Drosophila melanogaster: one gene and its partner. The protein of the gene in region 1 interacts with the protein of each later gene in a pairwise test. Each region holds a gene or a part of one and is shown in the gene's direction. Other genes may lie near its edges.

Region 1 (9,670 bases):
TTTGTTATACATATATACGGATAATGTAGGAAATGCCATTGATTTCTACTTAAAAAGTCACTTACAAAATACGGTTCTAGTTTTAATAGATGTTGATTATAAACATATATTTTATATGAGAGACATTTCTTTCTATTAAAAAATACTATGATAATAATATGTTAAGTATAAGATAAGTTAAGAACGTTCTTCGGTGCAGTGCAGGCTACAAAATTGCCAACATTTTGTTGATAAATAAAAGCATAAAGTAAACTTTTATATTTGACAATAATGATCATTTAAAATTATTCAAGATTATTGATCTACTATATCTTTTGTCTGTCGTGTGATTTTTGTGGGAATCCCTGAGCAATCAATTCATCATCGGTTATAACCTACCACATTTAATAATGGTATTATGATCATTAAAAACTAATAAAAAATGTTTGTAATAATTATTGTATTTTGTTTTAAAAATTTGCATGGCTTTTTTCTTCACAGTCTACAGCTGTGTATAAAATAATATTTGTATAAAAATTTAATTCAAAGAGTTTTAGCCAAGTTTTAGTCTTAACTTTTGTAGATTTAAACCAATATTTTTCAGTCATGCTTGCAACACATCGAAATTGTTAAGCTTTTTAAGCTTGGCTTTGCAAACTTGAACACCAGATGGCGCCAGCAGCGTGTGAAAAAGCCAAGCTCGGAAATTGAAGTCGGCGGACCGCAAAAAACTTTAATGCGGCCAATTAAACATTTAAGAGCCTCATTTGCAATTGCTGTTAACAATCTTACGACTACAAGTTGCTGTAGGCAGGAAAATAAAGTTCGTTTTATTGGAGTAACTTTGCTGAAATTGTTTGATCATCGGAAATCAATGATTCAACTGTTTGACGCCCTTGAAAGCAGAAAAATCACCAGTTATCATAATTACTTTATAATGTTTTGTCCCATCGCCAATTGAGGGTTCTACAAGCCAAAGACATTTTGCACATTTGATTATTACCCTTGCGACTCAATTTTGTCTACGCAATTTGCCGCGAATATACAAACAAATTCAATAATAATTGTTTAACGGTTTGTTCGCCAGTTTGACTGTTGGCTAAATGTAAATGTTTGCGGAAGATATTTGCATAACTGGCAGCAACCCCTCAGATACATTTATATATACATACATACATACATACATATATATCGAACTCGATCGCATGAATCGTCTGCAGCGACAGCGATAATAAACTAACGTCTTTTGCATACGATTATGATCCGCTTGATGGCTGGTGGCCAAACAAAAGACGAATGCAAATGAAATCCGAAACACCGGAAGAATTTGTCACTGGCTGAGGCGCACACGGCGTATGATTGATTCCTGGCCAACGAAGGGATTCACCCGATCAACCATACGCCCGGTCGACATTCACCCACATCTTATGCAGTCCACTCGGATTCGAACTCGAACTGGTTGGCATAAGCTAATCGGCAAGTTCAAGTTCAATTCGCCGGTGACACAGTTAACATTTCGGTGACCCCAGCCTCAGCCTCTGTTTTTTTTTTTCTCAGACATCGAAGTTCGAAGTCTTGGCCAAAATAGTTGCTATCGGTTTGGTTTCATTAACTTGACCCGGAAGTGGGCCTTAATCGATGCGCTGCGATCATTGTGGGTCGTTAGAATCCGATTCCGAATCTGATTCCGAGCCCTGGGCCCAAAGAATTTGTATGTAAATTGCCAGGTAAATGCGCCGTTTCCTTGAATAAACTTTACAAACACTTTTAACGAAATACTTCTGGCTGTAAACCTTTCCGCTTTATGCCGATAATAGCAATGTTTTAGGCTTGTTTTAAATAGTTTTCAAATTGCTTGTAAAACAGTCTAGGGAATTTCGCTGATTCGCCAAAAAAAAAGGTCAACGAAATTATAAACCACCTACGCAGTTTCAGTTCAGTTCAGTTGGGTTAGGTTCTAAAGTTCATACTGGAGTTAAAGCGTGAATAAGTATTTCAAGTGGGTCAAGGTTACGAAAGCGAATTTGGATGAAGATATAAAAAAAGGGAGAATTACCAGAAACCGAAAACAAAATAGAATGAACATTTCATTCTGAGGCGATTTGAGACTATTTCTAGGGTTTGTTGTCATATTCTGGCTAATGATGAAAGAGCCTAAGGGAATGGATAAATAATACTCTATAATGACTGAATGTTGTTTAAAAAGCTATTAATTGAGAGAAAATGAAAGTATCATTAGGGTACACATACGTATATGTAGAATATATTCTCATTTGATAGAATGTTAGTTTCTGTTTGTTATTAGCAAACTAATCAGAGTTGTCCGCTGGGATTGGCTGTGTTTTCTAAAATAAAAACATTTTACTTTGCAAATGTTTAAATGAATTTTCTGTTTATTAGGTCTTGTTATTCAAATTTCTGGAAGCACGCTCAATGCCATAAATTCGCTATCCTCTAAGTTCTACCGCAATCGCTTTGACCAAATCGATCAAAAGTGACAACTATTCAAGAATATTTTATGATTCTTTTAATTGTACAAAAGGCTGCACAACCAAATACAAAACGAATTAAAAGCCAGACGATTTTGGCCAACAACAGCAACAAAAAGCCGGCAACACGCACACACAACACCAACATTGTTATCGCAATTATCATAGAAAAACGAGACCATACGAGACCATTCGATACATTTTGTGTATGTAGCATATAGCATATAGCGTTTGGAATCCACGAGGCACAAAAGAACATCTTAAAGCTAAAGCTAAAGTCAAAGATGAGGATGAGCAAGATGCCAAATAGCCGAGACAAAAGTTCGGCTAAACAAAAACTAAAGCTGAATCTAAACGCCGAACTGAAGATGAACTGAATACAGATACAGAAACAGATACAGATACAAAAACAAATCGGAAGGCAGAGACGAAGAAACAGCAGTGCCAAATCGAACCTTTAGTCGAAATTTTTATACATAGCGCCGTACAACTCGGCGGAGCAGTTCAGTGCGCGTACAAGTCTCGTGGGTAGCGGATGCCAGCAAAGGTATCTCCCCACTATACAATAATATACCATACTAAACTATACTATACCACACCACACCACATAGTGCCTCATATCAGCCTCATTTGAGCAAGACTAAAGATGGAACAAGACTAAAAAACAGTTGTCACGGTGCTAACATTAAGTTGTCGTCGCTCAAAATTAAGTGCACGGCAATCGAAGAGATTGCAACAGGTGCCCAACAAACCGCTTCATCTGTGTGTGCCAGTGTGTGTGTGTAGATATATCTGAGTGATCAATCAGATCAATCGTTGGAGGCGAGCAGTTATAGAATTCGTGGCTTAGACTGGATTGATACGCTGGTAGAGGTCCCTGAAAGTGAAGTTCTGTAGCTATTCAATCGACAGATCAGCTGACAAGGAAAGGTTTATAAAGTTTGTGCATTTCAATAGTTAGGGTACATATCCTTAAAAATCAACAAAGTATTTCAACACTTAAAAGGCTAGTAAAGATGAGCAAGGATACGCTTGTGTTTACATCTTTCTAAAATTTGCTTAGAAGCACAAGTAGATGATACTTCATATTTTGTATCTTTCACTTCCATGCCTAATATTTAGCTTAGATCAGCAAACTTTTTTTTTTTGCATAGAACAAGTGCCATATGAGGAGTTTAGCGATCTCCACCTGTCAAGGTCATTAAACCAATGCGACACATATTTGATTTTGGCAAAAACAAAACCGCCGTCGTCCAAATTGGGCAATAGGTGACACAATTTTCTATTTGCTCGCTCTAGGTGCTTCCAAGGTTTCCCACATCTCCGGACATTTACCAAATGACTAACCAAGTGGAAATACCCTCAAATTGGCTGGCGATGATCAGCCAGACACGACGGCGTCCAAATGATGCGACATCTTATGGCTTAGATCATAATTCCCACCCATTCCCGAACACACACAAAATAAAAAAGAGCAAGAAACGCATGGCAAGGTCGTAATTCCAACTGAAAATTGATAAACTGGATTTTCTTGGCCAGTATTTTGTGCGGCCAACAAAAGTGTTTAGCACCTTTTGGCTTATGACTGCCATTTGTCGCCTTCCCCCTCAAGATTTTCTGGCCCCATTCTGCGCTAACTGTTGCAGGTAATATTCAAACGGAGCCATAACACCTGAAGTGCAGGAAATGACCGGAGAGCTGAAGCCAAACCTGTTGATGGCTGCTGATAGCCGACTGGAGTGTTGGCCAAGTTGCCCTTCAAAATATCTCCTCAGTCGTTTTTTTTTTTATTTCAATTTGTTCCTCACTTCGCAGACCAAGAAGCCGATCAGAATAGCCTCGAAAACGACGCAAGAAATCATAATGCTATTCGATTATTTTGTGGTCTTAATCGGCCTTAGCCAAGTTCAAGTGTGAGTCGACTTCAAGTCAACGAACGTGAATGCTTGGAATTTAGCATGGGTGCTTGATAGCTCGATGGTTCTCAAATGCCCCCTTTGGAGGAGCAAGTTCTTGGCGATGATTAATCACCGGGAGTACCACTTCACTCTGTCCCACTTTGGACTAAACGACTTCTGTAGAAGATCCCCGAGATCCGTAAGAGAGTGGCAAGCAACAGCTCAAAACCAAACAAACTGCACAACACAAATATAATTTAGCTGGGTGTGCGAGTGGGTTTTATGCGTTCCACACGTGAGGCACTGAGGCACTGCCCAATTTACTTGGGTCTTGTATCTCGGGTCGTGAGGCAACCAACCAACCATGGTATGGGCCATATGGAGTTGAAGTTTTGAGGTGGCCACCAATTTGTTGCGGGCTGTTGTGCGCTGCGGTTGTTTAATTCATAATAATGAATATAATTTACTGTTACTGTTACATGATAATTTCACGGCATTTCACCGTCACCGTCACACATTTGCTATTTGCTATTCTCCTTCGCCTTCGTTTGATTATTATTTTAATTTTATTTAGATTTCTGGGCTCGGCAACAGCAACAGCAAAAGCAATGGCAAAAGCTGTAGCTGAAGCTATAGCTTTGGCATTAGTTGCTCGAGAATCGCATTAACATAACTTAACTACGAAAACTCGAAAAGATCTTTCCCTCATCCAGACTCCCTTCCGATCTTCCCAATTCCATTTAGATTTCGCAAAACTCGTTCGTTGCGACGCAGGCTAAGCAGATTTTTGAATTTCACATCGAAACGATCGTCGCTATATAATCGTATTTGTGGGAGCAAGAGTCCAACGAGGAGAATTTAAAAATGGCAGCCGTCAACGCAACACAGGTGGACTATTGGAATTTTCTGTTCACCGATCTGGCAGGTGAGTTGGATGGGGAGGGGAACTACCTGTGCCGCATATAGATGCTGATCAAATCCCTGATATTCCCACGCAGATCCCCGCACCAATGACTGGTTCCTGATCAAGTCGCCACTGCCCCTGCTGGGCATCCTGGCCTTCTATCTCTTCTTCGTGCTGTCCTGGGGACCCAAGTTCATGAAGGATCGCAAACCCTTCAAGCTGGAACGCACCCTGCTCGTCTACAATTTCTTCCAGGTAGCCCTCAGTGTTTGGATGGTCTACGAGGGCGTGGTCATCTGGCAGTACTACAGCTGGCGGTGCCAGCCGGTTGATTGGTCCCGCACACCCAAGGCGTATCGTGAGGCGCGCGTCGTCTATGTCTACTATCTGGCCAAGATTACCGAGCTGCTGGACACCATTTTCTTTGTGCTGCGCAAGAATGACCGACAGGTGACCTTCCTGCATGTCTACCATCACACGGTGATGCCCATGATCAGCTGGGGCACCAGCAAGTACTATCCCGGCGGACATGGCACCTTCATTGGCTGGATCAACTCCTTCGTGCACATTATCATGTACTCCTACTACTTCCTCTCCGCCTTCGGACCCCAGATGCAGAAGTATCTGTGGTGGAAGAAGTACATCACCAACCTGCAGATGGTAAGAACGCTTTATACGCTATCCATAGATATCTGTAGTATTTCAATTTGAGGGGTTATAAGAGGTTTATTACTTGCTTTGCTAATGACTTCATCTTAGAACTAAATAGGAAAGCACTTAAGTGGAAAATATTCAAATGTATTCTTTGATTTTAGGGCTGCACTTAAAAGTGATATATAGTTTTATTTTGTTGTGAGATACTAGAGCTCTACAACCATTTCATTTTAAAATTATCTAGATTAGTATAAGTACAAAACAGATAGATTCAGAAATAGATAGCACCTCATTCTTCCTTATCGATAGCTCTTAATGGTCTCCCGATTTTACGATTATTCTTACAGATCCAGTTCTGCTGCGCCTTCATCCACCAGACGCAGCTGTTGTACACGGATTGTGGGTATCCCAGGTGGTCGGTGTGCTTTACCCTGCCCAACGCGGTGTTCTTCTACTTCCTGTTCAACGACTTCTACCAGAAGTCCTACAAGAAGAAGCAGGCTGCTGCCAAGGAGAAGGCTCTGTCGGCGGATAACAATAATGATGGATGTGCCAAGGACCTCAACAAGGCAATTCAGCTGCAGCAGGAGAAGCAGAAGGCCTTGTAAGAGGGAGGAGCACAAACACCCACCGCCACCCACCCACACACACCACCCTCAACACACAAAACCCCTTCAATACTCGTACAAAAGGGCGGGTAGAAACACCCACTGAGAGCCACCCATGTTCTATGTGCAACCTTGTTGACTAATTTCTTAAGTAATCCGCCGCCAAATAGACGTGAAGCACGAAAAAAAAAAGAAAATCAGAAACGAGACGAATAGATATTTGAGCAAATGAGGTTTTCGAGACACAGATACACATATTATGTAAATGTAAATGTAAATGTTCAAACAGTTGAAATTGCTTTTTGCCGCCATCGTCATCATCATCGCTCGCTCCGTTTGAAGTTCGCCATCGTGTCGGGCGGACCCAAATGAAAGAAGTCGTATGTCTTTCGGCCAAAACTGAAACTGAACTAAGTTAAGTAAACAGGCAGAAGAAGCGTTAGTTGTGTAAATAAGTGTAGGTACGCATGCGAATGTGTTTTCTTTAGATTTTATATACGTGTGGTATGTAAAGTAGGCATTAAACAAGTGAAAAACTAGCTAATAACGAAACCATAAATACAAACACAATTTACAAATAAATCTAGAATTTTTTCTACAAAAATATCGTAAAAAAACAATGAGCCTTATTCTTTATCTTATGAATGGGAAATTAACGGAAGTGAGAACTGACACTCCTAGTGTCAATATACTGAAAAAGATCTCAACTTTGCTTTTATGGGAATTTTTCATATAAATCTGTTTTTATGTATCGTATATTTGTCAAAAAAGTCTGACATTTTTAATTAATAGATCACTTTATCAGGATCATGTACCCCATACTATTTCTTTATAGTTTGAATGATCTTGTTTTCAATACATTTAAAAGTTTTTTCCTTTTGACGCAATAATATATTATACTTTTAAATGAATTACTTTTCATTTAAAGAAATAATGAATTAATGCAATTGGCCTTGAAAACATTGCATATTCAAGCATTTCCTGTAATCATTTGTGTTCATTCAACTTGTATTTATGGTTTCAAGCCACTTTAATGGTATATTTGTCTTTTCGACAACATTGGGGTATCTCCCAAAGAGCAATCACACCCATTTGCATCCCAATCTAGCCATTCATGATCTCAGTAAGCCTCAGATAAATCGCACGAGGTAACCTTTGCTCAAGGAACCAACTCAAATCGATTGACCAGCTGATATATGTATGTATAACCAAGAACCTATTCATTCAGCAGCGGAAGCCAAAATGATTTAAATTTGAATGGGCGTGGCTAGTACAACTGGTCTATGGGGTGATGATCTGGACACGATCGGTTCATGAATTTTTACGAGACTCTGGAAAGACGACCACTTGGCCACTCATTAGAGCTCATTTCGCAGGCACCTTGAACGGCGGCGACGGAGGAGATAAGATTTTGATAAATTCCGCAGCCTTTTATTGATCAATCAGTCAAGACGGAACGCAACTGAAGCGGAAGTGAAAACGCATCTTCGAGTGGGGTTGCGGCCATCCGATGTGCGGATACAGTATTCAATAAAGCCGGTTTGGACACTTGGCCTTGATCTTGACCACAAACATGAGAAAACAAAGCGCAGCTCTCAGCCAAAAATTTCGGTTTTTATCTGGCCCCAACCGGAGCTAAGCTAATGCCAATATTATACCAGTTTTATGGTCTGATCAGCATAGATTCTATCAGACTTTCGATTGAAGATGAAGATCTCCGGCGTTATTTATATATTTACCAAGAAACTGGAAAAAATTTCCATAATCACAATTCAAGGCATACTTTCAGGCCGTTCTTAGTTTTAAAACCAACATAGAGTTTGACCTATGCAAATGTCGCAAAAACGAGGCTCATTTAAAATAACACGCCTACCCATAGATACAAATCAAACTCTTTTCCAGGCCCTTGAACTTTGACTCGAATGTGTACAAAACAACAAGAGTTTTATACTCGAAATCTGCATAAATAAAGGTGCTTCATGTGATGCTGGAGGCATGTGTGTGAGTCAAGGCGAGTTAAGAAAAAATTGATTAGAAATTCTAATTTGGCAAAGACATTCTCCAATCGTCGCCAGGGTGTCTAAGCCTGGCCAACAAAATGGACGGGGCACACACAATGTTGGATAATCATCGCAGCACGCGTACTAGGTTCTACACTCATAAAAATATGGTTTATTTAAAGAATCGTTTTTTAGGGATGCAAAAATTTGTGCTTTTGTTTTATGATATTTCTAATCTGTTCTCTGATTAGACAGTTGGCACAAAAAGAGGTAGTATATCTTCACTCAATCGACAGATATTAATCACGTTTAATGGTTTGCAGATCTGCATAATTTTTCTTTGCGTGTGGATGGAGCGCGTGGCCATGCCGTTGTCATAAATAATAGGATCCAATGGGATCCGGTTTGATTACCTAACCCAAGAGCTTCGCGCAGAAATAGAAGTCCAAAAACCCCCAAAACCCAAAACCTGAACCCGAATTTCACCGGCAAAGAACAGACACAGACTTTTTTGGTTTTATTAAATATACAAAATTAAAGTTTTATTGAATTTTTCTTGTTTTGCGAAACGATTTACGGCTGCATTTCATTAATAAGCTCTATCACACTAGCTCTCATACACGCTCAGCTAGAAAAACATTAACACATACTCAGTCACACAAACATGGCCACATTCACGCACTTAGGGTCCTAGCTACTTTTTGGATTTGAATCATCATCCGCCTGCCCGGCATATAAACATTATACAAGTTATTCTCCGCAGACTACAGACTACTGATAGTTGGTAATGGTAAAGGTAAAGGTAAGAGTTACGAACTAAGCCCCGCTCTAAAAAACATAATTGCTAACTGAAATCCCAACGACACCATTTTCGGCATCGCCGATCATTCCAGCTTCATGGGCTTCACGCTGTTGTTGTTCAGATCGATGTACGCCTTTCCGACCTGGCCATTCTGGAGCAGATGCTTACCGGCGTTCATGGTCTGCGGCATGCAACCCATACCGCCGGCGGCACGCAGAGCGGATTGAGCCAAACTACTGCCGGTGGTGCGACTGCCTCCATCCACGGACTTGGCCTTCTTGTAGGTCTTGCGATAGAAATTGCCGAACAGGTAAAGGAAGATGACCGTGTTGCCCA
Region 2 (7,439 bases), on another chromosome or scaffold:
AACAGCATTTGACGGGCGACTATCAGAATGAACTAGGAGAGTTAACAATTCCTGGCACTTTGGCAAAGCTTAAAAACTATTTTGCTCTAGTTGGTAAGTATGTCCTCATCCTCGGGAGTTCGCCGCACCCACTTTTTCGTCACAGTCAGCGTGATGCCGGTGATGAGAAAGACACTGGCAAAAGCTATCATGGAATAGCCGAATATGATTCCGTAACTGGACAAATTAATGGCCAACTGAAATGGAAAGTATGGCACTTAAATGAAAGACATTTCAAATATGGATTAGGTCTTACCTTGGCCTTCGATGCCAATTCGGAGGAGAGCTCTGCATACTGATCGAACCAGAACATGGGCATTAAAACCTTTTGCACTCCACGATATATGCTGCAAATAAAATTTACTTTATGACTTACATTTTCCTTGAGACCTTTGCTTTTATGTACGTAATTGTATGAATCGTATGAGTAGTTTTTATCCATGAACTTTTACTTTACTTACTCGAAGTCGTCATCGGGCTCAATCATCATATTAATCTGGATGCGTCCATGCACTTGGACAGGCACTCCAGTAATCGGTTCCACGGCTAGGAAGAACTCGTGCTTCTCCTTCTCCGGCTTCATTCCACTGACAGCATCAACATACGACTGATCCGCTAGGTAAAAGTGAGGGAAGGAGGAGTAAATGGGTGCTTTGTCTCGGCACGCCTTGCACTCCACGACACCGGTCTTGGGACATTCATCAAATCGCGCCTCATCACAGAAGCACGCCTGGTTAGGGTAGTTTTCTCCGGAGTCCAGAGTCTCCTCGGTGCCTACCCACTTAGTGGCGGTCAGGCCGTGATTCTCGTATGTGCCCCGGGGCCGGAGGTTCATAAATCTGCAAGCATCGGTGGCAAAAATCGTAATCTCATCGTTTACATTCATCTTTGGCGGGAACATGTCGCCCGTGGTTCCATTAACAATGCCACAAGGCATCTCGTAAAATCCAGTTTCTGATTTTCCATTCCAGTGGGTAAGTCTACCCAGATTAGATATATCGTCAGTGCCCGTGTGAATAGTAAACAAGCCATCGTAAGTCAGCGACTCATTGCGGTCCGCCAGCCACCCGAAGCGTTTGTAGGGTATGTCGATCTTTGTGGTGTTGAACAGGTTTAGGAAATCGGTAATGTTATCCTGGTAACCCTCGAAGATCCATTCGCCCACCGGCTTGGTTACGTACAACTTTCCGCCTTCATGGTTCAGCATAAAGTTTATGATTTTTTTGACGATCTTGCGCTGGTCTCGCATCTCATCCGCTACCGTGGCGGTAATGGCATGGGCAGCAGTCACCATGTCGTCCAATGTGCCATTGGATCTCTCCGGATCAAAGAACCATGTGCGGCGCTCATAATATGCCACCGTTGCATTATCGTAAAACGTATAGTTCTCCTTCTTGTGCTTTTCCAGGAAGGTGTACGGACCCATTTCCACGAAGTTTGGCTTAATGTCCGGGTTCCTTATGTCCTCGGGATTCGTCCAATTGAACATGTAAAAGCTCAGGTAAATGGGGATAGGTGCCTCCAGCCAGCTTTCATAGGCATCAGTCCCGGGCTTGAGGGTAAGGCCCTGGGTAAAGATTAAGTTCATTTTAGTATGTCGAAATGAAAATCTTTTTTTTTTTTAGTTATCGTTCGGTAAACATATTTCCCTGAACCTGTAATACGCAATCTCGGACGGCTAAATATACTTACATCCTCTACAAGGTTATCTGCAATACCCGGCCAGAAGACCACGATTAGTATTCCCAGCAAAAGGAAAACCGATCCCAAGCCGAAGACCCAGACCTTTCGTTGAGTTTCCCCGCAGCACTTGCAGCACATGGTGGATACGTAGGATTCCAAAGGTTCACGCTTTTAAGGAATAGCCAAGGTGGGAATAATCCAGCCCTAGGCAGTTAGTTGCATCTGGAAGTGAAGACAGTTTGTGGGGTTATTTTTCCTTGTATAATCAATGTCCATAATCCGTATCGAATTTTTATTAGTTTATTTCCCGGTACACCCATCCTGGCACCCTGCAGAGTTGGTAATTTTGAAAATAATAAGACCAAGGCTTATCGCCGGCTGGTCCCTGCTTAAGTATTCGATAAGCATCGGCGATTATAAGTGTATATTTTTGAATATATTTTGCAGTCCATGACAGTTGGAGAAGATTACGTGGGACAGCCCACTTATCCGCACAGTCAACTTCAAGTGCAGACATCCGCAGATCTATTCAGTTTTCTAGCACTTGCCACTGTTTAGGTCGCCTAAACTTACTAGTTTTCAATCAAAGGGGATCGAAAATATTCCGGCCTTAGCACAATCGGAACTATCAAAACCGTACGCGTCCCCTGGCAGGGCGAAACTGGTGGCCAGCGGTCTACTGTGTGTCTTTTAATGGGTTCACTTGACGTTCAATTACCACTCGGTTCGTTTATTAATCTCTGGACTTTGCTAGTCGGGAATATTTGCTTGATTGGCATTAACTTGGATGCGTTTGGAGAAACACAAAAAAGAGATCACTCTACTCGAATTCCTCGACTTTCAGTTACTCGTAACTCAGGTAGCTGGCTGCCACAAAATTTTAATATTTTGGTATTCAGAGTGGGTATGTTGCAAATATTTGTAGCATAGCGATAGAAATGAAAATCTTATCTTTCTAACATTTATAGTTCGCGAGATCAAAGCGTTCATGCGAAGGCGGATGGCTAGATCGACTCGGGTGGTTATTCTGATCGAGTGAGTAGGTTTTATGGCAGATTGATTTACAATAGTTAAAATTCCTTTTAATATTATAAACATTTATAATTATGGTAATTTCATGCCTAGATGTTATTTATGTCCATGCTTGTCTGCAATTCAAATTCATTCAAGTCTAAGATAGTGTTTAGTATCGTTATCTGGGTAATACCCGCATTTCTCGGCTATTTGCTTCTGTGGTTGGTTGGTCAAGATGTTCTCACAAGGGGTTCCTATTTATGGCACTGATAAGATTAGCTTTGTGGAGATACTGATAATTCGGTCGAAATATGCTTTACTATACCATATCAGCCTTGATCCGTCCTGTAATCCAAAGTTCTTTTAATGCAATAGGAACGGGGCCTGTTTTTATCGTAAGTCTGGTGCATATCGTATTGCAATTTCGATTCCCTGCTTTGTTTCCTCCCGTCGACTGACTCAGTCTTGTTTTTGTCGGATTATTGGGCTGGCTCTATACTACAATGAATATTTCTTTGTTTAACGACTGATAACAGGCAAAAAAGGGGGTCTGGAACTACAGTAGAGCCTTTTGAGCTTGTACGAGTCCCAGTAGGATAACTCGAGAATTCATGTTAACTGTTTAAGGCGAATTAATATTAATAATAATTGATTAATATTAAATGGTTTTTAAAATAGTTTGTTGTAAACTGCATTGTGTATGCACTATATATGTTTACTGCATGTTGTCTCTCTTTTGAGGGCGATAGCTTGCATCCCGTGAAATGTTTGCTTTCTGGTTGAACTTAAACCTCGATCAACTTGCGCTTAAAGTGTTGACATCACCAGTTGCGAATTAGGCGTACAGTTATATTCACGTATTATTGCACATTACCGGCTGCATAATTAAAGTGATGAATTACTCACCTTTTATCTCACACACAACTACGTCTTTTAGCATTAGCTTCTGATGGCTCTGTTATTGTTTTGCTTTGGCCTTGACATTTATTATGCCATAGTTCGGAGTAAATTTATTTTTCTGGGACTTCCCGCTTCGATGATCGCTTAGTCCCTTTACCTTTGGTGCCTGGAATCGCAAAAGTACCGTACGAAAGGGATTCAAATTGTCAGACTTCCCTTCTTATTACTTTTACAGCTAAACTCAAGCGTGGGAAGCGCCTTTGGAATTGATCTGAAAGCTGCTATCCAACTAAAAAAAAGGCACTTTCGCGTTGCCGAAGAGGGCAAGCAGAGAAAGATAAACTGCAAACTTGCAGTTTGCTGGGCTAAATTGGATTAAACAATTTATTTCTTTATCTTCGCTGGGCGAGTGTGACCAGAAGCGTTTATATGCGCTGTAACAGCACTGTAAGCAACGTTGCCACAGTTTTTGGATTGACTGTAATGCGAAACAGCTGTTCTGTTAGAGAAGTGGTGACAACCCTAACGACAGTGCCAACCAATCAGCGCAGACCACGACTCACACACACAAACAAAGCTGCCAGCGGCGACAACTACAATTTTTTTACACTTTTGCCAGCATTTAAAATCGTATTTCGAATCAGCTGGTTAAAAAGAATGAATTGCTGAATCAAACAGGATCAAAAACGAAATGCAGCTTATCAAGTGCTTGGTTATAATTCAGCTGTCCCTCTTGCTGGTGGAGGAGTCATTTGCCGGCCGGGACTTCTACAAAATACTGAACGTAAAGAAAAACGCCAACACGAACGAAGTGAAGAAGGCGTATCGCCGTTTGGCCAAGGAGCTGCATCCGGATAAGAACAAGGACGACCCGGATGCCTCCACAAAGTTCCAGGACCTGGGAGCGGCCTACGAAGTCCTCTCCAATCCGGACAAACGGAAGACCTACGACCGCTGCGGCGAGGAATGCCTCAAGAAGGAGGGCATGATGGATCACGGTGGTGATCCGTTCTCTAGCTTCTTTGGGGACTTCGGCTTTCACTTCGGTGGTGATGGCCAGCAGCAAGATGCTCCGCGAGGCGCCGATATCGTAATGGACTTGTACGTTTCCCTGGAGGAGCTATACTCCGGAAACTTTGTGGAAATTGTGAGGAACAAGCCTGTAACGAAACCCGCCTCAGGCACCAGGAAATGCAACTGCCGCCAGGAGATGGTCACCCGGAACCTTGGACCCGGGCGCTTCCAGATGATCCAACAGACGGTGTGCGACGAGTGTCCCAACGTGAAGCTAGTCAACGAGGAGCGCACATTGGAGATCGAGGTGGAACAGGGCATGGTCGACGGCCAAGAGACGAGGTTCGTGGCCGAGGGGGAGCCACATATCGATGGGGAGCCCGGCGACCTCATTGTGCGGGTTCAACAAATGCCGCATCCGCGATTCCTGCGCAAGAATGATGATCTGTACACGAACGTGACCATCAGTCTGCAGGATGCCCTTGTCGGCTTCTCCATGGAGATCAAGCACCTTGATGGACACCTGGTGCCCGTCACGAGAGAGAAGGTAACGTGGCCCGGCGCTAGAATCCGCAAGAAGGGCGAGGGCATGCCCAACTTTGAGAACAACAACCTCACCGGCAACCTGTACATCACCTTCGATGTGGAGTTCCCCAAGAAGGATCTTACGGAGGAGGACAAGGAAGGTTAGCATATACATTATCACAAGAGTAATTGTTTCATTAATAAACGTTTCTAATTCTAGCGCTCAAGAAAATACTCGACCAATCCTCCATCAATCGCATATACAATGGACTGTGAATACCCATGTTTCATCCCCAATAAAAGTGCTCGCCGGCTGTACTCTAGTTTTTAAATGCCTAACTAACAGGGCGACTTTGATTTGGGAACGCCCCTAATTCAAGAGATGACTTTGTTCAAAAAAGTTGTGCGAAAACAATTTAATTTTAGTTTAGAATTTTGTAAAATAGCAAAAGTGTAATGAGAGGGAACTATTAAGGCGGTTCCTGCCGACAAAAAGGAATTGCAACAAAAACCAACCCCCACAAAATAAAGCGGATTTAAATTATATACAACTTTGCGGAAGCTACTATTTTTGATTTACTGTTTTTAAAAGGGATTTTTTGATTGTCTCAGAAATAATTTAATTTGAAAACTATTATATTAAGACAATCGATAGGCTGCATTATTGCAACCTTGGCTCAGCTGTCGATAACTGGCGCAGGAATCCGCAAGAAGGGCGAGGGCATGCCCAACTTTGAGAACAACAACCTCACCGGCAACCTGTACATCACCTTCGATGTGGAGTTCCCCAAGAAGGATCTTACGGAGGAGGACAAGGAAGGTTAGCATATACATTATCACAAGAGTAATTGTTTCATTAATAAACGTTTCTAATTCTAGCGCTCAAGAAAATACTCGACCAATCCTCCATCAATCGCATATACAATGGACTGTGAATACCCATGTTTCATCCCCAATAAAAGTGCTCGCCGGCTGTACTCTAGTTTTTAAATGCCTAACTAACAGGGCGACTTTGATTTGGGAACGCCCCTAATTCAAGAGATGACTTTGTTCAAAAAAGTTGTGCGAAAACAATTTAATTTTAGTTTAGAATTTTGTAAAATAGCAAAAGTGTAATGAGAGGGAACTATTAAGGCGGTTCCTGCCGACAAAAAGGAATTGCAACAAAAACCAACCCCCACAAAATAAAGCGGATTTAAATTATATACAACTTTGCGGAAGCTACTATTTTTGATTTACTGTTTTTAAAAGGGATTTTTTGATTGTCTCAGAAATAATTTAATTTGAAAACTATTATATTAAGACAATCGATAGGCTGCATTATTGCAACCTTGGCTCAGCTGTCGATAACTGGCGCAGGACAACGTTCTAACGGGAGTAAAACCGAGAGCGAACAATCGGGAGAGCGTTACAGGAAGTAGCGAATTCACATTAGAGAGCGAAGAAATTTGTACCAGTGCGGACGTGGACAAGCTCGATCCAGCTTTATTATTTATTTTATCAGAAAGCAGAACCCACAACCGAAAAAACCAGTCATTGGCAAGGCTAAAAGATATTATTGCCTACCATCCTTTACTTCATACCTCGCATTGGAAAGTGAAGTTGAGTTGGAAAAGGAGAACTAGAAAAAGGATTTCTAGACCGAAAAAACAAGACACCAACAGCACAACGACCATAAATACATAGTATGAATGTCGCCTAAATATCATAATTTCGAGGTGAGTCGCGAGCAACTCCTCCGAGCAGTCTTTTCAGTTCCCGTCCCACGGATTTCGTGTTCCGCGAAGACGCAACTGCCCACCCCTTTCATTCAGTTTTTTCGCTATCGATTTTCTGCGAGGGTCTCCCTTCAACTTTAAGTGACCCAAAAAAGAAAGGGAGGGTGGTTTTAGGTCAGCCGGCAAAGTTGCGTGCTGGGCTACGTTGTATGTTCTGGTTTCATGCCAAATCTAGAGACCCAATTAAAACACTTTCAGATTGCACTGGTCTACTTTCTGCTGCTAATACCATGGCCACCCACGAATGTGATCAGAATCCTCTGCTCGCGAGATAACAGCCGACTGGTGCGCAAAATAGTGCGCTCCAAATGGACTCCCATTCTGGACAAGCATCAGGTAAGTCCACTACATCGGAGTTCCCTCGATTCAAACCTGCCTTACCGAGACAAATCAACTTAAAGGTGAAGCTGCCGCTGGAGTGCCCGCTCCATCCGTTCCGGGATGTCTTTGCCCCCCGCCAGGATGCCAAGCAGAGGGATCGACCTA

Evidence for each region. Proteins that work in one complex are often made in the same cells at the same time.
Region 2: the proteins of sit (region 1) and shv interact in a two-hybrid assay, tested with the Drosophila melanogaster proteins (one large-scale study listed by BioGRID).

What each region holds. Positions count from the first base shown.
Region 1 is NT_033777.3:22,555,870-22,565,539, reverse strand, and holds sit (stuck in traffic), read left to right. Parts: upstream 1-2,967; 5' UTR 2,968-3,015; intron 3,016-5,110; 5' UTR 5,111-5,230; coding exon 5,231-5,291; intron 5,292-5,364; coding exon 5,365-5,930; intron 5,931-6,271; coding exon 6,272-6,532; 3' UTR 6,533-7,198; downstream 7,199-9,670. Other genes in the region: james bond, read right to left, coding at 9,417-9,670.
Region 2 is NT_033779.5:448,935-456,373, forward strand, and holds shv (shriveled), read left to right. Parts: upstream 1-4,173; 5' UTR 4,174-4,327; coding exon 4,328-5,336; intron 5,337-5,395; coding exon 5,396-5,451; 3' UTR 5,452-5,720; downstream 5,721-7,439. Other genes in the region: crq (croquemort), read right to left, coding at 87-236, 296-386, 501-1,606, 1,732-1,860; CG4133 (uncharacterized protein), read left to right, coding at 6,867-6,893, 7,152-7,289, 7,355-7,439. UniProt on the Drosophila melanogaster protein: Maintains stem cell niche architecture in the testes.